Linked DNA regions of Stegostoma tigrinum. The protein of the gene in region 1 purifies or fractionates together with the protein of each later gene. This does not show direct contact. Links are inferred from orthologs where the notes say so. Each region holds a gene or a part of one and is shown in the gene's direction. Other genes may lie near its edges.

Region 1 (8,489 bases):
CTAGTTGTCTCCATCAAATACCATATCAAACTGCTGAGGTAATATAAAGCAACAGTAAATTTCATCCTACAAATGTAAACTTTGTCTGTTGTAATGATCAAGGTTGAGAATTATATTGTCATTCTCGTCCCACCACACCATGGATCACAATATAAAATGAAAATCTTTTCTGGTCACCAAGATGACCAAATCTATAACTGGTTTTAAACAGTAAGATCAAAATGAGGTTTCTTAACAAACATAATAATTATTTTATAATCAAAACAAAATTTATTCTGTGAAGATGCAAACAAGTGTTTAGTGTAAACAATCATTAATATTGAAGTACAAACACTTATCCCTCTAAATATCAGCCAAAAACACACACTCCTCAGGAAAAGAGTGAATAAAATTAATTTCTTTCCAGAGACTGATTTTCTGAAAACAAACAAATACTTTTGTCGATGTGCTATTCTCGAAGGCAAAATGATTAAGCGTGGAATGTTCTAAAGCCAGTTGCCCAGATATTCTAGCACGTGTTCAAATAATTAATCATGCAAGGCTGACTCTGGTCTTTCTTTCAGAGCTTGCTCAAGAAATGCATGACTGAGAAGTTGCTCCAAACATTTTCAGAAGAACAATTCGATTTCAGCCTGAATTCAAGCAGACCCTTTCAGAAATGGGAGAGATCAACTCTACAGTACTTCCTGGTACTTTTTTTGTCCTCAACTAATTCCAGATACCAAAGTACTCTCCATCCAGTCAGTGTTCAAACCAGACCCAGCAGGGTCTACAGCAAAGTAAGCAGTTATCATTAATCATGTGATTCCTAGGGCGCCATGTTAAAAAAATCTCTAATGTTCACAGTGATCTTTCAACAATCATTTTTAACGAATCATTCCAGTTATTTCCACAAAAATTTTAATCATTCTTTTGTTGCACATTTCCTTCAAAACCTAATCCCTCCAAGAAATAATAAATATAAAGCATCACCATAGCCCCCTGCCCTTGGAAAAAATAAAATGCTGTTTTAAAATACATTTTACAGTACAGCGTGAATTAAACAAAAATATTTTTAAAAATTAAGTCACATTTACACTGATTCCCATTCAATCTTTCCAAGTAACTTATAGAATTATCTCTGGTACATTCTTAGCTCTTAGACAATCCAAAAATTCTTGACAAAGGATCAACAGTTACACTGTTTTACCTGCAATGTGAACAATGTTTAAATAACAAGGCTTGGTAGAAAATTCCATTGACATAGTCTGATATACTGTATTATTCCACAAAGGATAGGGGTTTATGATCGGTATGTACCAACGTCTCTCTACAGCTGTGATGGATATATAATTCACAATGTTTCTGGGGAGGTGATGCTTTGTGGGATTATCACTTGATTGATACTCCAGAGACCTAGAGCATTAATATGGCAGCTAATGAAGTCAGAATCAATGAAAATTTGGAATTAAAAGCTAGCCTAATGGCCACCAGGTAATGATTGTAGTAACAACCCAGCTGGTTCACTATTGAACTTTATGCAACAAAATCTGCCATCATTACCTGGTCTGGCCTACAAGTGACTCCAGGCAATGTGGTTGACTCATAACTGCCCTCTGAAAGGTATATCAAACCAGTCAGTTCAAGTGGCAATTAGCAATAGGCAATAAATGCTGGTTCACCCAGCGTCGCCCATATCCAACGAACGAATAAAAGAAGAGCCAGTAGTAAACATACATACAAATATACAAACTGTTATGCCTCACTTAGGTAACACACTGGAAATCAAGTCTTGCTATTCCTGGAGTCATCATAAAGACTAAAGATTTTTATAAGCACCCAGGATTGCCCAATTTACCTGTCTTTCATATCCTGGTTAACAGAAAACATAGAACGAGTTTCTGTACTCATAAGCATTAGTATTTATTACAAATACAGATAAACAACTGTGAAACATCCAGTAGCATCTCAACTAGTTAAGAATTTAATTCCCCCTTATAAAATACACAGACACACACACACATACACACACACACCACACACACACACACACACACACACACACACACACACACAGTCAGACTGAAAAGGCAATTCAAAAATTCCCATTCACAAGGCTGCTGAGATGATTCTTGTGGTGATCAGAATACTGTTTCTCAGTCTTCTTCCTCTAAATGCTTTCACTGATTTGCAGGAGCTACAAGGTGACTGGTTCACACACATAGCAGTGATAATGGGAACTGCGGATGCTGGAGAATCCAAGATAATGAAATGTGAGGCTGGATGGACACAGCAGGCCCAGCAGCATCTCAGGAGCACAAAAGCTGACGTTTCGGGCCTAGACCCTTCGTCTGATGAAGGGTCTAGGCCCGAAACGTCAGCTTTTGTGCTCCTGAGATGCTGCTGGGCCTGCTGTGTTCATCCAGCCTCACATTTCATTATCATACTCATAGCAGTTCTCTGGCTGAGTCATTAGCAACTGCTGAAGGAAAAATAAACTGGTTTACTTCAGACTTAAAGTGGGTGTTGTTGAGACAGCTCCTGGTGGTGGATATCTAACGACTTCTCTGTATCTTATTCACAAGCCCAAACTGTTCAGCTATCTAAGAACTAATCACATAGCTGTTGGCAGGCTGAAGGCCTTTGTCTGCATAAGACCATACAGAATAGGAACAGAAGTAGGCCATTCAGCCCTTCGAGCTCTGCTTTGCCATTCAATGCAATCATGGGTCGTCTGGCATTCCTCAAGGGCAGGATGAATACACTTAATGATAAGATGCTGGGGATTGTTGCTGAACAAAGAGACCTTGGAGAGCAGGTTCATATTTTCTTGAAAGTGGAGTCCCAGGCAGACAGAATAGTGAAGAAGGCATTTGGTATGCTTACCTTTATTGGTCAACGCATTGAATATAGGAGTAGGGAGGTCATGTTGTGGCCCTACAGGACATTGGTTAGGCTACTTTTGGAATACTCCGTGCAATTCTGGTCTCCCTGCTACACAAAGGATGTTGTGAAACTGGAAAGGGTTCAGAAAAGATTTATAAGGATGTTGCAAGGGTTGGAGAGTTTGAGCTATAAAGAGAGATTGAATAGGCTGGGGCTTTTTTCCCTTGAACATTGGAGGCTGAGAGGTGACCTCATAGATGTTTATAAAATCATAAGGAGCACGGATAGGGTAAATAAACAAGATCTTTTCCTTGGGATGGGGGAGTCCAAAACTGGAGGGTACAGATTTAAGGTGAGAGGGGAAAGATTTAAAAGTGATCTAAGGGGCAACTTTTTCATGCAGAGGGTTCTGTGTGTATGGAATGAGCTGCCAGAGGAAGTGGTGGAAGCTGGTACAATTACAACATTTAAAAGGTATCTGCATGGGTATATGAATAGGAAGGGTTTAAGTATGGGCCAAATGATGGCAAATGGGAAATATTTAATTAGGATATCTGGTCAGCATGGATAAGTTAGACCAAAGGGTCTGTTTCCATGCTGTATATCTGTATGACTCTAAGTTCACTTTCCTGCTTTTTTCCTGTAGCCCTTGACTTCTCTACCAATCAAGAATCTATCTCAGTCTTAAATGTAATTAAGAACTCTGCTCACACATCTCTCTGTGGAAAGTCTCTGAAAGAAGAAATGCTTCCTCATCTCAGTCTTAATTTGGTCCCCCTTTTCTGAGATGATGTCATATGATTCTAGACTCTACCATGAAGGAAACATCCTCTCAGCATTACCCCATCAAGCCCCTTAAGAATTATGTTTCAATATCTGGTCAGAACTCCATAGACAAATTAGCTACTTGTTGCCCACTGAAGCGCTATTTGTGTACAACCATCTGGCTTAAGCTCGTCAGTAAACTATAATTGAAGCAACAGCTGTGTAAATCATGTCTAAAATGAGTGTTGGGTTACCGCTTCCAAAAACGTGTAGAAATGCTTCAGCAATCCTTGGTTTTAAAACAATTATTTTCTCATTTCAATACAGGAAAATAAAAAAGACACTGTCTTTACAGAATTAGGAGCAGGAGCAAGGCATTCAAACCCTTAAGTCTGGTCAAATATTTGATAAGATCTTGGCTCATCTGATTGTATACCCAAATTTGCATTCCCACCTACCCCAATAATTTTTCACACCTTACTTACATCTGTCTTAAAACATTCAAGGATTCTGCTTCCACTCCTTCTTCAGGAAGAGAATTCCAAAGACCCACAACTCACTAAGGCAAAAAAAACCCATTTCAGTTTTAAATGGACAATCTCTGTCATAGGATAAAACATTCTCTTCATAACCCCAATCCAATCTTGCCTCACAAGACAACACTCTCATTCCAAGTTCTGAATTTTTTCAGATGCTGCTGGACCTGCTGAGTTTCTCCAGAATTCTCTGTGCCTGTTTCAGATTCCAGCATCCACTGCATTTTGCTTTTGGAAGGTTATGTTGATAGGGCGAGATGAAGAGGGGAAGGAGGACGCCCATGGTCTGGTACGTCAACACTGACATGGATATTTGACAATTGGCCAGAAATGGCCAATTTCTGCGCTGTTAACTTAAATGGGAAGAGATGATATAGGAATTGTAAGCTCTCAAATCTGCAACTTAACATTCTGTGCAAACCCTCATGTTTTGGCTGGGTTCATGGGAATGGTTTTCAAACTGGCACAAAAAGCAGCCAACAGGACCAAAAATCAGAGACAGAAAAGAGACATATTTATGCGTGTGTGTGTGTGAATTATAAATAGGTTCATTTTCAAGACAATCATAGTTTAAAAACAAAACAAATCCGGTTGAATATCTTAACATGACAAACGGGGATGGACTAAAAATGTTAAATAAGACCGTTAGAACATACCCTCAGAAAGAAAGTTTGAACAATCGCCATGGCAACAGCAGAAATTGTGTCAGGGGCTTTCGTGACTAATCATCCGCCTGAATGAAGATTAAGTGTATTATTCAGCGCTATTTGTTTTTATTAATTTCACGGACAGGTTTCGATCGACAAAAGAACTGTTTCATTGTCATTGTTGTTTGCGAGGTGGAGGTTTTGTTTTGTGTGGAGCCGGCCGTCAGGCACGGGGCTGCCCGCGTGTAGAATGAGGCCCCAGACATGCCAACCGGGCAGAAGCCGCGGAGCGGCAGCACTGACGGGGAGGGACGGTCGCTCGGTGTGGGCCGTGAGGAGAGGCCGCTCGCCGCTGCCACGCACTTCAGCCTGGGCTGCGCCATGGAGAATGACATCCTTGACTCGCTGGAGGATCTGGGGTAGGCGCTTGGTGTGGCCCCAGGGCTTTCCCCTCCTCCTCCTCCTCCCCCGTGTCCACCTTCTGGAGGTTTCTCTGCCGGACCGGGCCTCACTGTTAGGTGTTAACCAGCGGGTGGCTTTTCCCCCTTTCGGCCCCCTCCCCCCTCACACGGGGCAGTCAAGTTGACCCTGCGCCCGTTATAAATAGCTTGCTGAGCTGGCCCTAGCGCTGCGGCCTGACTGTGGGTAAAAAGCTTCTGCCCTTTTCCGCTCTGCTGACACGTGTTTCATTGCAGCAAAGGCCTGCCTGTTTTTCTTGTTTCACTCCCCACCCCCACTCCCGTTTTATTTCACCCTCCTGTAATTTGCATATGTATTGACTAACCCGTCGTTTGCCAACATTGAAAAACCTGATTCACCATTGCAGAGGGGTGGGCACTGTCATGTGACGGACAGAGTCCTTGAGCTGAGTGATTGACCAGAAGGCAATTAAGAGTCGACATTGCTAAGGGTTGACTCACATATAGGTCAGACCAGGTAGGGATGGAGTGTTAGAGATAATGGGAACTGCAGATGCTGGAGAATTCCAAGATAATAAAATGTGAGGCTGGATGAACACAGCAGGCCAAGCAGCATCTCAAGAGCACAAAAGCTGACGTTTTGGGCCTAGACCCTTCATCAGAGAGGGGGATGGGGAGAGGAAACTGGAATAAATAGGGAGAGAGGGGGAGGCGGACCGAAGATGGAAAGTAAAGAAGATAGGTGGAGAGAGTATAGGTGGGGAGGTAGGAAGGGGATAGGTCAGTCCAGGGAAGACGGACAGGTCAAGGAGGTGGGATGAGGTTAGTAGGTACCTGGGGGTGTGGCTTGGGGTGGGAGGAAGGGATGGGTGAGAGGAAGAACCGGTTAGGGAGGCAGAGACAGGTTGGACTGGTTTTGGGATGCAGTGGGTGGGGGGGAAGAGCTGGGCTGGTTGTGTGGTGCAGTGGGGGGAGGGGATGAACTGGGCTGGTTTAGGGATGCAGTAGGGGAAGGGGAGATTTTGAAACTGGTGAAGTCCACATTGATACCATATGGCTGCAGGGTTCCCAGGCGGAATATGAGTTGCTGTTCCTGCAATCTTCGGGTGGCATCGTTGTGGCAGTGCAGGAGGCGGAGTGTTTCCTTCCTTCCTTTAAAGGACATTAAAAGGCTGTGTATGATCATCAGCTTTCAACTACAGAATTATTAATTGAATTTATATGCCAGCAGCTGCTGTGGTGGATTTGATCTATGCCCCAGATCATTGGCTGAGCCTTTGTATTATATAATTAAAACTGAAAGAACTGCGGGTGCTGAGGTGTTCTGAAGAAGGGTTACTTGATCCAAAATGTTAACTGATTTCTCCCCACGTATGCTGCAGGACCTAAGCTTCTTTTGGCAACTTCCATTTTTTGTCCTCTGATGAAGGGTCTAGGCCTGAAACATCAGCTTTTGTGCTTCTGAGATGCTGCTTGGCCTGCTGTGTTCATTCAGCTTCACACTTGCTATCCATTTTTGCCTCTATTATTTGTCTAGTGGCATTGTGCCTGTATCTCCCAATGGCAATAATCTATATAAATGAGTTGTAATTCTCAACATTTTCTTGAATAACTTTGAACTATTCAAACCAAAGTCAGTAGGCCTAGGTTCAAGTGCCACCTGCTCCAAATGTACGTTACAGCATTTCTGGTGAATTGATTAGAAAATATCTGCAGCACTTGTCTTCATCGCATGACATGTAGGATGCTAGATCTTGTTGAAAAGAATGGATGCAGTTTGCATTTGCAGCAATGGAATTCTTGGCATTAGGGGCAAATGGAAAAGGTATTTTAGAAGGATTTCTATAAATGGAAACCCTGCATACCAAAATGGAGAGGTAATGCTAAACCTCTCAAAATAATTGGTTAAATCTTACTTAAACAATTGTGACAAATTTGGTGCCCTCGTTTTGAGATAATTTTCAAGGCCAGGGAGAGGGCCCAGAGACACTTACCAATATGATACCTTGAATGAGAGGAGAAATTCGGTGACTGTAGAATGAAGCAGCATGTTAGGAGTTCCAGCAAAGAAGTCTAACTCTTGCCACGGGGGATCTCTAATTACACCCAAATGCTTTAGAACAAAAGGACATGGTAGGGTAAAAAGGAGACTTTTTTTGTAGTTGATGGTTAAGACTTAGTGTTGTAGCAGAAATTGAAATGGAAGATTTGAGTAGGAAAGTGGAATTAATTCATAAGGAGAAAGATACCAAATTGCCAGACTGCAATGTTCAGGCTAAAATTGACAATTGAAATGTATTTGCAACCAGCATACCAACAAAGCAGAAATATGTATTCAAAGAGTCTTAGAGTTTACAGTATGGTCCAGCTCATCCACGCTGACCAGATATCCTGTATTGAAGGAATAGGAGTCTAACACTTGACGTACTGAATAAACTAGAGTTAGAAAGTTTTTAGATGTCCATTCCGGTCAGTTTTGAACAGTGAGACAACAAGGTGTAGAGCTGGATGAACACAGCAGGCCAAGGAGCATCAGAGGAGCAGGAAGGCTGACGTTTCGGGCCTAGACCCAAGGGTCTGGGACCGAACCGTCAGCCTTCCTGCTCCTCTGCTGCTTGGCCTGCTGTGTTCATCCAGCTCTACATCTTGTTGTCTCAGATTCTCCAGCATCTGCAGTTCCTACTATCTCTGAAACAGTTTTGAACAATGCGTACATTTCAATGTGACAAGGAAGATTGAAATAATGCAACTCCTTTCACAGCCTCAACTGAAATGGACTGTTTAAAAGGAAAGTGGATCATAGGTAAGACCTTTGACTATTGCAGACCTCCTTTACCAGTGGATAAATTTGAAGATGTCTCTTCTGAGTAATTTTGTGAACTAGATTAGTTTAATTAATTTGTATCAATCAAATGTAGGGAATGTGTGAACAGGGACTGTGTAAATTCAGAAGGTAAGCATGCAAGTAAAGGAAGCGTAAAGAAGGCAATTAGTAAGTTAGCTTTCATAGTGATGGGATTCCAGAGCAGGAGCAGGGATGTCTTGCTGCAATTATACAGAGCCTTAGTGTGACCACACTTGGACTATTGTGTGCACTTTTGGTCACCTTAGCTGAAGAAGGAAGCTCTTGCTACAATGAGAGTACAGTGAAGATGTATCAGACTGATCCATGGGATGGCAGGACTGACATTGAGAAGTGGTTGAATTAGGACCATGTTGCTGGAGCTCAGAAAAATGAGGGGAGATCTTGTAGAAAC
Region 2 (7,818 bases), on another chromosome or scaffold:
CTAACAAGTCCTCTTGACCTATCACCTTGTGTATTGACTTGTCTCTTGGTCTAGCAAGGCCTATTTAAAATTCACATCTTGTTTTCAAATAGCTCTGTAGCTTGCCCCTCATCCCTGTAATCTCTTCTGGCCTATCAAACTTCACGAGTGCGCATCTCCAGTTCTGTCTGTGTGCATCATTAATTTGGATCATTTCACAATTATCTGCCTTGCATTCAACTGTCTAGACCCAAGTTCTGGAATTTCTTCTCTAAACTGTCAGCCTTGCTAGCTCTCATATGGGATGACTTTTAAAAATACCTTTTTGCCCAAGCTTCATCATTTGCCCTAATATCTCTCTGCAGTTTAGTGTCTGGTTTTATTTAGTATTACTTGAGAAACACTTTGAGATGCCTTATTGTGCTAAAGACTATGGAAATGCAAGCTGTTAGTGTTAAATATGCTTGCATTTTATTTCAGGCTTAATAAAAAGTGGTTCCATATATGATTTTTGGATAGAACTACTGGTAATGATTTATTTCAATTTGATAAGAAGGATCTCATTTTTAATGCATTGATGTAATTCTTTGATCAAGTTCAACTGTATGAAACAAAATTCTGAACTAACATAAATAATTCATGTCCTCAAACTAGTATCACGAGCAAATTACTTAATTCCAACAAATCAAATTAGTTATGCTTATTTGGCTTGCTGTGGAATTATGAATTCCCCACTGCAACTATAAAAATTTTTATGCTTCCAGAATATGGATGGTAAACAATAATCGAAGTTTTAAAACAATTAGGCATTAATACAAATATGTCAAATAACTTTGTTAAGAAAACATCTTCACAGATGCTGAAAGAGCTGAGTATTTCTCGTACTCTCTTTCTATTATAGATTGTGTGATTGAGTGGCAGCTGAGGCAAATAAAAATGGAAACACAGAACTTTGTAGGCTTCAAGCTAGAAATGCGTTCCATTAGAGGTTTCTAGTCTCAAATACAAACCACATTTTTTCCCCAGTCCCCTAAATTGTTGGTATACTCATCCCACGTTGTTGGCAGTTCCTGCTGAATAAATGGGAGCTTAAGGTTAGAAATTATTAAAGTCAATATTACAGACTGTTTCTTGAATTTATGTTAGCCTATTCAACTGAAGCAGATAGGGCAGGGTGGAAGAAAGATACTGAATTGGCAAGCATATGAGATTTGCAAATGCATACAATATGGAGGTATCCCTTAATCTGTGTACCATTCTAGGTTGGACAAGGTATACATAAACTAAAAGGAGTATTTGGAGCTGTAATCTCATTGAATGGTAGAGCAGTCTTGATGGGTGAATTGTGGAAACAACCTGATAGGCTAAATGGCCTACTTCAGCTCATATCTTTTGGTGGTGTGAGAATGAAAAGTACTAGAGAAGAATTGTAGGTGATAGGAATGTTAAAGAATAAAGCTGTGTCATTGAGTAATGATCCATTCAGAAAAAGGAAAGGAAGACAAGATATGTTACATGAGAGATTACTGCAAGACGGGCAGATTAAGGTCGCCCATTGAAAGCAGGAATTGGCACAGTTGAAGATTAAGCTTAAAAGTTCCCATCAGTGGGATGGGACTGGGGACACAAACGGAATAGAAAAGACTTGGTTGAGGATCCTGACTACCATGGTTGAAGGGGTTGAGAATCCTCAAATGGGATTTTATTTCTGAATCATCTGTAAATTAACTGGAGTAAGTGGGACAGAGAAACAGGCGAAGGGGAAATAGAGATTTTTGACTTGCTGGCTGAGCTGGCTTGTTCTTGTTTAGACGTTTCATCAACATGTTAGGTGACATTGTCAGTGGAGCCTCCAATGAAGCTTCATCGGTGACTCCATTGATGATGTCACCTAGCATGGTGATGAAACATCTGAATGAGAACAAGCCAGCTTGGCAAGCAAGTCAATGACCTCCCCCACAACCTGAGCTACAGATTTTTGGTAAAACTTTGAAGGGGAAGTAGAGTTGCGAAATGAGCAGAAGGGTGATCTGGACAGAAGTAGGATTTATTATTAGTATGGTTTAGAAGGGGTGGACGCTAGGAAGTTATTTCCGTTAGGCGGGGAGACTAGGACCCGTGGGCACAGCCTTAAAATTAGAGGGGGTAAATTTAAAACTGAAATGAGACGACATTTCTTCAGCCAGAGAGTGGTGGGCTTGTGGAATTCATTGCCAGGGAGTGCAGTGGAGGCCGGGACGTTGGATGCCTTCAAGGCAGAGATCGACAAATTCTTGATCTCAGAAGGAATCAAGGGCTACAGGGGGAGAGTGCAGGGAAGTGGAGTTGAAATGCCCATCAGCCATGATTTAAATGGCGGAGTGGACTTGATGGGCTGAATGGCCTTACTTCCACTCCTATGTCTTATGGTCTTACGGATTTAGTGGGCTTTCATTTCTGGAGGTAGCAAGCAGTCCAGGAAGGGAAGATCAAAAATGGAGAGTATACAGTTCAAGTAATTGAAAACTTGAAACAATGAATTAAATATTCTAAATTGGGGCGAGTGATAGTCATCACTTTAAGAGGAAACGAGGTCAGAGGAGAACCTGAGAAGAGAGCAAGGACATGTACACATTTCCTGCAACAATATTATGAATACATTTATTTATTTTCTGTAAATCTGTTTTTAACAGTTTTGTACAAACATTTTAAGCATTTGTAATCGGCACTTTGAAGTAACAACATGGTTATTAAAATAATTTGTTAAAAAAACTTAATTACGTGGCTGGTCCTGGATCAAACTGATTGCTCTTGTCTTGTAACCCTCTATCATAAACTAAATTCAATCACTTAAAACTTATGTTTAGCAGTAAAAAAAAAGCTATGGAAGTTGCTAACTTCTAATAACGACCTAACTGATGGCTCATTAACTATTTTAGACCAATATCAATCAACCATTCCAAAACTAAAATCAAATCTGGAAAAAAACCAGAAAATTATACAAATACTCAGGAGGTCATACAGAATCTGCAGAGAGAGAAAAAGATTTATGGTTCAGATAAATGACATTTTATGAGAATGATTATCTGCTTTACTTGACCTATACGTGTATAAATTTCATGGCGGATTATATATTCTCCTGGATTAGTTTTGCCCGCCATGCAGTTGAATGGAACACGCCCAATAAATACAACCTTTTGATATCAACCGTGTCCCGACAATAGACTAATTTGAATAGGCTGTAAATTCATTGTAAGTTCTCAAATCTTTCTAATGCATCAAATTAGCATGATTATAACTAAGGTGTGAAGAACAGGCTTCAATGCGACTGTCATCTTGGAATACGAGGTACACTTGCAAAGTAGAGGTGTGATGCACAAAACTAATAGTAGATATGAGCTTTTCCCTTTGTTGATGTATAAATGTTGGTCCGAACAATTACCTACTTTCCTTGTACCAATTTATCCATGTCTGTTTACAATTACAATTTGCCTATTTACCTTCAGTCGTAGCACTCTTGCCTTTGAGCCAAGAGGTTTTGTCTTCTTTTCTCACTGCAGAGCTCCACACAGAAAAACCTGACACTGCAGCAGTGCAGAAAGAATCCTACATTGTCAAATATGCTACCTTTCAGATACAAGAAACGAAGGCTCCATGTGCCTTTTCAGGGTAATTGTAAAATATCTCACGGTGCTATTTTGAAGCAAAGCATGTGTTATTCTGGTTAGTCTAGCAACTATTTCACCCTCATCATAATATATACATATTAATTTAGTTGAGAGATAACAGGCCCGAAACGTTAACTTTCCCGCTCCTGATGCCGTTTGGCCTGCTGTGGGGATCCAGCTCCACACCTTGTTACATAATTTAGTTATTTTGTTTGCAACAATTTGCTGTGCTTAGATGGCTGCCATTTATTCGATAGCATAACATTTCATGCTTTGCGATGTCCTATTATGAAAGGTGCTATGTAAATACAAGTTGGGTGTGTTCTCAGTGAGACTAGGAGGAAATGTTGACCTTTCCTAAGAAAGAGCTGAGCAGGGTGCAATGTCCAAAGATCAACATCACAAGTAAAAATGAACTCAATTCAACCAAGCTGAGATAGTGATCACTACTCCGGCCATCTGAGAGCTTGTCCCTCACCCGCAAAATAAACCTCCGCGCTCGTCGACGAGGTCAGAAGTCCGAAAGAACAGGACCGGAGAGCAGTGGGGGGAATGAGGGCAAAGCCAAACACAGTAACAATAAAGGGGGAGGGGGGGGAAGTCCCGTCGTAAAACCACTCGTTCCCGTCCATCTCCTGGCCGTTCTTTCAGCAGCGTCGAGTCCGATGATGCAGAGCCAACTTACTTTGTGGGTGGGGGAGGGGTGATCGACCGCATTGCCGGTGTGGTTTGGGGGTAGGGGAAGGTGCGAATGCGCCGGTCGGTGGGTGCGCGCGCACACGCCGGCGTGCCCGAATCCTGTTTGTCTGCCCCTCCCCTCAAACCTCCCCCCCCCTCCGCCACCCCGACCCCTCTCTGCCCCTCCCCTCCCCCCCCCCCCCATTCTCGTCCGTTCACCGTGTTGTTGGTGGCGGCCGAAGCTTTGCGATAGCAACGGGCGTTGCGGCGCTAACTGACTTTGAGGCCTGGACAGGCGATACGGAGGCCGCATCCGTACTCTTGTCCCTGACGACGTTTTCGTATTCCTCGGCGGGGGTGGGGAGAAGGGGAGGGGGGGAGGGTTTCACTGGTGTTGTGGATGCTGGGCCGGACCTTTTCTGTTCAAGGGTTTGAAGTGACTGGAAGCGGCATCTCTCTCCCACCCCTTGCCCTCCCCCATCACCATCATCGCCCACCATCATGTCCATGAAGCAGCCCAACAGCCGAAAGCCCAGCGGCGGCATCGGGACTGGTGGAGCAGCAGCTGGAGTTGGCGGAGGAGGGAGACAGTCAGGCGGCAGGTAATGAACAGGCTCTGTGTCCCCCCCCCTCTTTCCCCTCTCTGTGTCCCCCCCCCTCTTTCCCCTCTCTGTGTCCCCCCCCCTCTTTCCCCTCTCTGTGTCCCCCCCCCTCTTTCCCCTCTCTGTGTCCCCCCCCCTCTTTCCCCTCTCTGTGTCCCCCCCCCTCTTTCCCCTCTCTGTGTCCCCCCCTCTTTCCCCTCTCTGTCCCCCCCCCTCTTTCCCCTCTCTGTCCCCCCCCTCTTTCTCTATTGGTCCAACTTTAGCCCGAGGCTCTGGAGGCGGCCTTCTGTCACTGATGGGCCCGCCTTTCCCCTTCAATATGCCGGGCCCCGCGTTACCGAGAAACGAAACGGTAGTGTCCAGGCCTTGCGCTCAGGCCTCATCTTCCAGCGGGTTAATGCCGCTATGAGGATGCGGCCTACACGCCAGAAACCATAGACATCTGTATTCGGGCGGCTTTTAAAATACAGCCATTAAGCAGATGTAGATTAACCAATGCTTAAAGAGGATACATTCCTTTAGGGAAATCCGTTAGGTGCGATACAGCGTCAGTGTTCAAAGTTTCTTAGACCTTTACATTTTCTTCAATCTCAACAAAAGTATCTTTATGAAACGGAACTTGTTCAAGGTTTAAACCATTGTCAATGAATATTCGTTAGACACGAACATATCGAAATGCAGAACAATTATTACAATAATCTTAAATTAAGATCATACTGAGAATTTCAAAGTTACTTGTAATTCGTCAATAATGCAGAGTTATGATGTGACATTAAAATCAGAACAATTGTATTCAAAAGAACAATGTCTTGTATGTTACATGACGATTTAAATAACCGTACTGTTTTAGTGAGATTGACTGTGCGTGAGGAATATTAAGCTTTCTACAAAAATTTGTTCCTTGCAATGAATTTGTGCTGTACGTTTTGTGACAGTGCTGTACATACAATGCGAACATTTTACAGAATATTATGAAATTAAATATATTTATCCTCTAATAGTTAAAATTGAGCTGAAGATGTACTTCAGTGGTACTCTGAAAAACTAAGTTTGTGTATGCTTCAGCCCATGTGTTGCAACAGAGTTGATGACTGGCATTTGAATCATATTTACATTGGTTTTTATCTCCTTATTACTAAATGATTTAACCCTTTACTCCATTAATGATACCAGTGTTTTTGACTCATAATAATTATATAGTATTTTGAAGTTAATTATGAAAGTTCCAAGTATTTTGTTCCTTACAACTATAATTATATACTTATCCTCTCTGGAATGATGAGCTTTCCTCTTCCCAACAGTGGCAGATATTTTGTTAGATTTGTGTTTAGTTTGTACTGATCGGTTTGACTTGTTTATTTTTGAAATTTGTGTTTGGCATTGTATTGATTTCATTGCTTTTGTTCAAAGATGTGCAGGTTAGGTGGATTAGCCATGGGAAATACAGGGTTACAGGGATCGGGGTGAGTAGGTCTGTGTCAGATGCTTTTTGAATGCTCGTTGTGGACTTGATGGGCTGAATAACCTCTCTTAGTGTAAGGATTTTATGATCGTGTCAATGTGAATGAGTTTAATTATACATGCCAAAACAAGAGGAACTGTTGTTTCTTAAGCCTTTCCTCAAATATTTCTCTTCCATTGGGGAAAAAACACTTTCTCACTTTTAAGGACGTAATACAAATAGCTTTGCTTCAAATAATTGTCTTGGAAGATTTTTGGCTCTGTTTTCACAAGACAGATAATTTTAAAATTTAAATCATCGGACATGTAACCAAGGTGGAGTCGGAAATAACTCAAAGCTTTTATAGTAATTTTCCTTTTATATGTTAAAATGAATAGTTGCCTGATTTGACACCAGTTCACAATTCATCTTCAATCTGCCCATCTCCTGTGTGATTTGCTTGATCTTTCAACATCTCCTTGGACCACATGAGATATCGTAGGTTTAAAAGCCCCTAATCCCCATATCAAGCCTTTTGGAGCTTTTCAACTCAAACTACTGTTTGAAAAATCATATGTACTTGGCAAATCAGCGCTTATTCACTTATATGTTTAGGCATTTGCTTGCAGCCAGGAGAAAGTGAGTGAGGTAAAAACTTAGATTTTTTTCCTGCTTTTCACAACGTCAGAATGCCTAAAACATTACAGACCTAATGAAATACTCTTTCTTTAAATTGTAGCTACTGTAATGTAACAAAATGTGACAACCAATTTGTTCACTGCCAAAGAAACAAGATAAATTATGAAGCATATGTATTGGGCAGGACACTGAAGAACTTCCCTGCCTATCGTCTTGTATGGAGAACAGCTGGGTTTTTTAAATTCCAATAATTCAGTGCACACTTTATTTAGGTCAGCCTTCTATGGGGCCAGAAGTCTGGAGTTTACCTTGAATTTGTTATTTCCTGGCTGAGAAGTCTGTAACTTACCATTGAATAAAGGCTATCAGTTAGTTTTTCAATTTGGTTTCTCTGACACAATGTAACAAGGTGAAAAATAGTATCTTGCTAATTTCCAGGACAGATCTTTTTCTCTTGCATCCTCAAAACCCTTTCTCTGTTTGTCCTAACTCCGTTACCTTACAACTGCTCATTCGAGATTGGAAATGACTGTGAAAGTCATTCTCATGTTGGTCTTTTCAATCACGGCAAGAAAATGTCTTAAAACCTACTTGTTTAATTTGAGCCAAAATGTATGATAATCCACTTTGGTATACTGTCCTTGTGGATTTATGTTTGGATGAGGTGTGGCTGTTTGTTCACTCTAGTTTCACAGAATCCCTGATTGAAGCATAACAGATTCTACATTTATTTGCTATTTATTCGATAGTAAATGAACAACAAGGCCTTTTTTATGAATCTGGGCTACAGTTGTGGACCTTGATCTGAGAGGTGCATAAATTTGGTCACAAG
Region 3 (7,391 bases), on another chromosome or scaffold:
CCACAACATACAAGGGTAGAATCAGACCATTCGGCCATCAAGTCTGCTCTGCCATTCAACCATGGCTGATATGATTCTAAGCCCCATTCTGTTGCCTTTTTCCCATAATCCCTAATGGGGTGGCATGGTGACGGCTCAGTGGTTAGCACTGCAGCCTCACAGCACCAGGGACCTGGGTTCGATTCCAGCCTCGGGTCACTGTCTGTGCAGAGTTTGCACATTCTCCCCGTGTCTGCGTGGGTTTTCTCCGGGTGCTCTGGTTTCCTCCCACAGTCCAAAGATGTGCAGACTAGGTGGATTGGCCATGCTAAATTGCCCATAGTGTTCAAGGGTGTGTGGACTTGGTGGGCTGAAGGGCCTGTTTCTACACTGTAGGGAATCTAATCTAAAACCCCTTACTCCCCTTATGGCAATCAGCTGAATCAAATTCACTAAATATCTCTGGGATTGTGATGTGCATCTTTCCTTACTCTGCTCAAATGTTTTATACCTTTGACATATCAAACTACCCTTTTCATTTGATTTTACGTTATTGGTCTATTCCCTCATTGGCTTCATCCTTGCCAGTATCTCTAACTTCATCTAGCAGGTCAAATCTGAGAACATTCTTGCAATCATGATCTGTTGCCTAGCCTCCATTCCTAAATCCACCGTTCATGGCTGTGTCTTCATCCTTAAATTCGTAACCAAATTCTGCAATACCATACCTAAATCTCCCCAACTCTTTTTCCTCACACAGGATCCTCTTTACAAATATACCATTACACAAGCTCTAGACACCCAAGTCTCTGTTATCTATGTTAATTTTTCCCTCATGAATCCCCTTGGACTGGTATTTTATATGAAAGATGCCTCATATGTGCAACATTTCTAAATTTGCCTTAACAGGGTGTGAAGAAAATCACATCAGCCTCCAAATTTATTTGGCAACAAAGGATTAAAAAATTACTGACTGCATTATCACTGATGTATTGAGCAATATTTATACCTCTGTCAACATGACAAAATTCATAATTGGTTAATATGACAAAGGTGTATATAGGAGCTTGCTGTGCTTAAATTTGTTTCTGCATTGTCTGCAATACAACATAAGGACAGCAGATACATGAGAACACCACTGCCTGCAAGTTTCCCTCCTAACCATTCACCATCCTGCTGTACATATATTGCTGTTCCTTCAATGTCATTGGGTTAATATCCTGAATCTCCCTCCCTGGTTATATTGTTTGTCTAACTATACCACATGAACTGCAGTGGCTCAACAGACAGCTAACCACCGCTTTCTCACAGGCAACTAGGCATGGACAATATATGCTGGCCACCAACTATCATCCACATCCCACGAGTGAATAATAAAAAACTGCAAAATTAATTCATTACTCGCAAAGAGGTTTGGGATGTCCTACTGTTTGGAAAGTGCTATATTTTTGTGTGATGATAAGGCACAGAAGGCCATTTGATCCTTCATGCCCTTTCTATCATTCCAGTCTTTTACACAACGATAAAGCACATTACACCATCATAACATTCTTAAAAAGAGAGACTTGCATTTGTATAATTCTGTTACTATTCACAACCACCAGTTATCTCAAGTCGCTTTGCTTTAAAAAGCTAAGGAACAACCTATGGTCCCAAAAGGCATTAAATTAATTCAAGGGCATAAAATTGAGTGACAAAGCACAGAAGGAGGCCATTCAGTTCAGCATGCCTGCTCCATCATTCTAACAAATATGAGGCAATAAAGGCAATATAATCTATTTATGTTAGTGGCCGATCACCGAAACTAGAAAGCAGGTCTAGCAGCACAATGGTTCACACTTCTGCCTCACAGAACCAAGGAACTAGTGTGATTCCAGCCTTGAGTGGCAGTGTGTGTGTGTGGAGTTTGCACATTCACCCATTTTTCTGCCAGATGCTCCAGTTTCCTCCCATAGTCCAAAGGTGTGCAGGTTAGGTGGATTGGCTACGCTAAATTGCCTACAGTCTCCAGGGATGTGCAAGCTAGACGGATTAGCCATGGGGAATGCAGGGTTACGCTTGGGCAGATGGTGTGGACTTGCAGGGCCAAATGGCCTGCTTCTGTACTCTAGAGATTCTATGATTCAAATGAAATTAAACAGTTATTTATATATACAATTCATTCATGGAATATGGGCTTCACTGGCTGGGCCAGCCTTTATTGCCCATCACTAATTGCCCTTGAGATGATTGTACATATCGTGTTCCACTGCAGTCCACGTGCTGTGGATAGACCCACAACATGTTAAGGAAGGAATTCCAGGATTTTGACCGCGTGATAGTGAAGAAACAGCGATATACTTCCAAGTCAGGGCCTTGTAGTGCTGTAGGTATTGGCCCTACCTCTTGGATAGCTTTATGTTCAATTGCCAGCTGCCCTGAAGGAATAACTTTATATATTTATTTGTTATACCTATGACAGGACATCATTTGTGTGTATATTACAAGTGTCGGGTTCAATTGAGGCATTCAGACTTGTTTCCTTTGTCTTCCAGTCCAGAGCCAGAGGACACAACATCAAAGTGGTTATCCATTTAAGACAGATAGGAGGTGAAAAAGATAGATTCAACGTTTCAGATCTGGTGACCCTTCCTCAGTTCTGACCAGACCAGAAACCTTAACTTGTATTTTCCTTCACAGATGCTACCAAACTTCTTTATTGTTCCTGATTTACAGCATCCTCAGTTCTTTTGGTTTTTAAGACAGGAGGAGGAATGTATTGTCTCAGAATGGTAAATGTATGGAATTCTTTAGTATTCAGGTCTGTAGAGGTTGGATCACTTAAGTATATGCAAAGTTGAAATAGATTGATGTTTAATCACAAAAGGTTGTGGGGGGAGAAAAGTGAAACTGAAGATCAGAGCATTTTTGATCAACTGGCCCAGAAATGTTAATACACACCTCAGCAGCAGGTGGGTGTTGAGTCTTTTCCCTGGACGGTCAGAAGCTGAGGGGTGACCTTGTAAAGGTCTATAAAAATATGAGGGGCATGGATAGGGTGAATTGTCAAGGACCTACCCGGGACACCTAATCCAGAGATAGGGACACTCCAACGACCCCTGCTGGAGTTGAGGAATATCTGATCATCAAAGATCTGGTTGAGAAGCCTGCAGATTGGATGGGCAGAGTGGCCTGCATCTACCAATCCGTCTTTTATGGTTACCCTGAAAGGAAGATTTTACGAGCTGGGGAAGATGTAGGCGGTTTGGGAGGCTGGATGATGGAAGCACGGCCGGCAAAAACAGAAATTGTTGGAAAAACTCTGCGGTCACAGCAGCACCTGTGGACAGAAATCAAGAGTTAACGTTTCGGGTGCAGTGGTCCTGCTTCGGAAGCCGAGAGTTTGTCACTGATTTCCAGCGTCTGCGGTTTTATTTTCTTTTTTAAAAAGGAGAAAAAGCGCGGAAAGACAAAAGAGAAAAGCAATTGTCGGCCGAGGCGCAAAAAAAATACAAAACCCTAGAAATTGTCCGCCGACGGTAAAGAGCTATTCTATCCATTTCTCAACAAAGTCAAGCACCGACCTGTGCCGAGGGAGGCCGAGCTAACGTTTCCAGTTCAGTGACCCTTCAACTGACGGGGGTGGAAAAGGAAGAGGCCGTTCAGCCCCTCGCGTCACGTCAGCCCCTCGCGCCAACTCATCAGACAATTGGGTCTTGTGTTCGCCACGCGAGGTGTGGGGGGGTGGTGGAGGAAGCAGGTCCGTGTCGAATGTGCCGTTCGGAGTAGAGCGCGACGCGTGCGGTGAGGGGCAGAGACCAGCGAAAGGAGTAGGGGAAAGAAACAGTTGGAGGAGGAGCAGCAGATCAGGCCCGGGTGTGTCGAATCAGCTGCCGCCAGTCGGGTAAACGCAGGACGCAGGCGCAGTGCCACCTCCCCGTCTGCCTGTCTGTCTCTCCCTCTCCCTCTCTCTTCCCCCCCCCCGCCCCCACACCCACCCCCTCGTTCAATGGACGAAAAGTGCGGCCGCGAGCAGCCCTCAGCTCCCGCTCCTCTCACCAATGGAGACGCCCAACAGCAGCAGGCCGCCGGCGACCTAATCACCAAAGTAAGCGATGTCTCAGACGGTCAGAAAACGAAGAAAAAGAAGAAGAAAGCAGGTGAGAGCGCAACCGAAGATCTTATCAACCGGTGTAAATGTTATTGACGGGGAGAGGTTACGTAAAAAAAATGTCGGTTGATGATGGTGGTGGGGGCTGCGGGGGTGGGAGGGGGTGTAGGTTTGCAGCCGCGGATCGTGGTGACCTTGGTGGCTTCAGTTACACTCTTTAGGCCCCTGAAGGCCGTGCCGGATCTAATATTCCCACCACCACCACCACCTCCTCCGCCTCTTCTTGGTAACCGTGTCGCCGTCTGTCTCGTCTTTCCTTCCACCTCCTCCTTCACTCACAGCCTCTTTTCTGAGGGAATGAGGCGCGGTGCCGCTGGGGGAGAGGGGAGACGGTTGGCGGTCTTTTGCTCTATTTCTGCCGGCGTGAGTCGGGGCGGGCAGGCCGCAGGCCCCGGCCTGTGGATGGTGGTGATGGTGGTAGTGTTGGTGGCGGCGATGATGATGATGCCGGCTCACTGGAATGTTCTTCAGCTGCCATTTCCTGTCCGCCATGTTGGAGGAGACCCACACACACTCACTCCGTGTGTCTCTCTGCCTCCCCTTGGAGTTGGATGGTCAACGTTTTAAACAACAGCCCCCCACCACCCTGATGTACGTCACGCAAACGGGAGGAGGTTGCATTGTTGCTGAGCTTTTTAAAGAAAAGAAAAAAGATCTTTATAAATAGTTATCCCACTCTCCTGCGTGCGCGCGCACACATGAGTATTAACCGGGAAAGACAGGGAGTGTTGCTAGCGGCCCCTTCCTCGCCTCGTCTATTTATCCGCTCCAGCGTTAGACTTTTCTTTCCCTTTTCCCCACCCCACGTTTTTCTTCTTGACTTCAAGGGTAATCTCGTCCTCGACGGTTAATGTCTTCCAGATTCTTCTCGATGCTTCATCTCTTTCCTTAACCACCCCCCCCGCCCCGCTCCTTTCTCAATCAGGGTTGGTTTCATAAAGCGAAACATTGCTTACACAATTTGCTGTCTTCCCCCACCCCACGCCCGCTATTGAAGGAAAATATGTATTCGTGATTTTTTTTGGAAGGGTCCATTATTTGGCAGGTGCAGTATAGACTTTGCAACGTGGGAAAGTCGATGAGGGGTCCAGTTACAAGCGGGATTATCGAACACTTTGAAAACCTTAAATTATCGCAAATACTTAATTTTAGGACAAATGTTACAGTATATCAACAGCATCTTTGGGCCTTGCCAGGGACTACTCCAGGTAAAAGAGCCCTTACGCAAAAGACAGGCAGAAAGCGTAGCATTGACAAAATAACCTGATGTAACTTGTTTGATTTACGTTAAGGATCGAATAGCTTTGATTTCAGAAATCTTTAGTACGTTTTTGTGTCTTTAGATGCATTGAATTAAATGTCTAGATCAGTCATATGTTTGTCATTAAGTGTAAGGTTGAACTAGTACTTCTTACAAGCTGGGTTTAAATATGCTTGCAGTATGTTGTGTGTATGGGTGTACTTTCAAAAATATGTGAAATTGAGTATCCAGTGATGTAAGAAGTATTCCAAATCTGTAGTTTATCATAAATGTTTGAATGCTGGAAAATATGGAATTAAATAATTAAACTTTAAATTAGCCTTCAAGATATCCAGCATGTCCACTATAATAATTTGCACAGAACATTGTCTTAATTTCAAACACTTGCGAAGGAGATCCAAGGGATTGGTGGTATCGTGAAGAAACTTTTATTTAAGCACTTACTATTAATTGTTGAACTGTTTATATCTAGTTAGGTATTTGCCATTATTATAATTAGCCTGTGTGAAAAGAGGTCTTCCATCTATGTGGGGCTTGCTGTTGCTGCAATTTATGAAAGTAATCTCTTAGCTTTGACAATGATATTGAGTTTGTTCCATCAGTGTGAATTTCAAAATCATAATTTTTAAATTTGTGTAAATAGGCAAATAATCCCCTTTCTGTTCCTTTAAATTAGGTGTTGTTCAGCTGTAAATATATTTGTTCAAAACTTTGCTATTCCTTTCCAAATGGTTTTATGGCTTAAGCTCAAAAATTGTTCCATATCAATGCTGCATAGTATCCTGCATATGAGCAATGACTGTCAATTTAGAAGTTCGGTTTCAGGACTCTGCTTTATGTAGGAGTTCATTGAGATGGTTCTGAAATTAATTAAAGACCACAAAATATATTTTGTTAACAATTTTCTTGATGTACTGGAATCAAATCAACCACAAGTGAATCAGGACATGCTACTATTGTAAACGTGTAGGTTTCTTTATGTTGTTGTCTTGAATGTTTTTGAACGTGGCTGAGACAAGGGCACTTTATCTCAGCTTAATGTTGCTGAAACCCTTATCCATGTTTTTTGACCCCTATGCTACCTTGGGTAATCCTGGTTGGTCTTCCATGCTCTACCCTTTATGAATTTGAAAATAATCCAAAACTTTGCCCATGTACCAAGTCCTGTAGATCCTTCCCCTGCTAACCTGCTGTTTGGCTCCTGATCAATCTATTATTTGCAACCATGCTTTCAAATCTGCCTCTGCAACCCTACCACTCAAACATCTGGCTTCCTGAGTCTTCTGATTGTAATAACTTCATCCTTGCTTGCCAAGGCTCAGCTCTAGAACTTTGTAAGTATCTCTGCCTTTCTTTTGGTCCTCTGGATTTAAGCGTCAATATCTTTTTGGCTAAGCTATTGGCCATCTTTGTCTTAGTGTGGGAATTTAATATATTGTGTTGTGAAGCAGTCTTGGTCACTTACTTTTGTTTCAGATGTTATTGAAGTGCAAATTTTAATTTGGGCATCTGGGCATTTGTCCAGAACTAAAACATCAAAGTATAGATAAAAATGCTGCTTTTGCCTCTTTATTTGATTGTTTGGCTTAAAAATAAAATCAACTGCATCTTGTTTATTTGCACCACTTTTTGAACTTCTCTAATTCTATGTCATTGGGTGAGTAAAATCATGATAGTTCTTCACTTGCGTTAAATAACTCTTGAGCTGCTCTGAATTGGATATGAGTTTATTCAGGGCAGGAAAGAGCCCAGAGAAATTTCTGGTGAAATTCTGGAAAAAAATTGTTTCATATCAATGCTGCTGCTTGAAGTTTGCTCTGTACTTGCCTTGAAGTGGCACTTTTATTGCAGTAATAGCTTTACTTGAATAAAATTGCACAACTGAAGTACAACATTTTCTTGAAATAGAATGTGTTTGTTCAGTTTTCCACTGCTGAATTTCTTTTTTGTAAATCATTTAGCTTATTTTGCCTTTTTTAAAGGTTATTTGAACCATGATTT

The links.
Region 2: the proteins of fam98a (region 1) and atxn2 purify together in Homo sapiens (co-immunoprecipitation; 3 studies listed by BioGRID and IntAct, counting the BioPlex papers as one, with this or other methods). This does not show direct contact. The link is inferred for Stegostoma tigrinum from reciprocal best matches to the Homo sapiens genes FAM98A and ATXN2.
Region 3: the proteins of fam98a (region 1) and nufip2 purify together in Homo sapiens (co-immunoprecipitation; 3 studies listed by BioGRID and IntAct, with this or other methods). This does not show direct contact. The link is inferred for Stegostoma tigrinum from reciprocal best matches to the Homo sapiens genes FAM98A and NUFIP2.

What each region holds. Positions count from the first base shown.
Region 1 is NC_081362.1:81,689,121-81,697,609, reverse strand, and holds the start of fam98a (protein FAM98A), read left to right. Parts: upstream 1-5,062; 5' UTR 5,063-5,077; coding exon 5,078-5,232; intron 5,233-8,489. UniProt on the Homo sapiens protein: Positively stimulates PRMT1-induced protein arginine methylation. Involved in skeletal homeostasis. Positively regulates lysosome peripheral distribution and ruffled border formation in osteoclasts.
Region 2 is NC_081379.1:23,200,193-23,208,010, forward strand, and holds the start of atxn2 (ataxin-2), read left to right. Parts: upstream 1-4,512; 5' UTR 4,513-4,805; coding exon 4,806-4,906; intron 4,907-7,818. UniProt on the Homo sapiens protein: Involved in EGFR trafficking, acting as negative regulator of endocytic EGFR internalization at the plasma membrane.
Region 3 is NC_081380.1:31,902,332-31,909,722, reverse strand, and holds the start of nufip2 (FMR1-interacting protein NUFIP2), read left to right. Parts: upstream 1-3,928; 5' UTR 3,929-3,967; coding exon 3,968-4,118; intron 4,119-7,391. UniProt on the Homo sapiens protein: Binds RNA.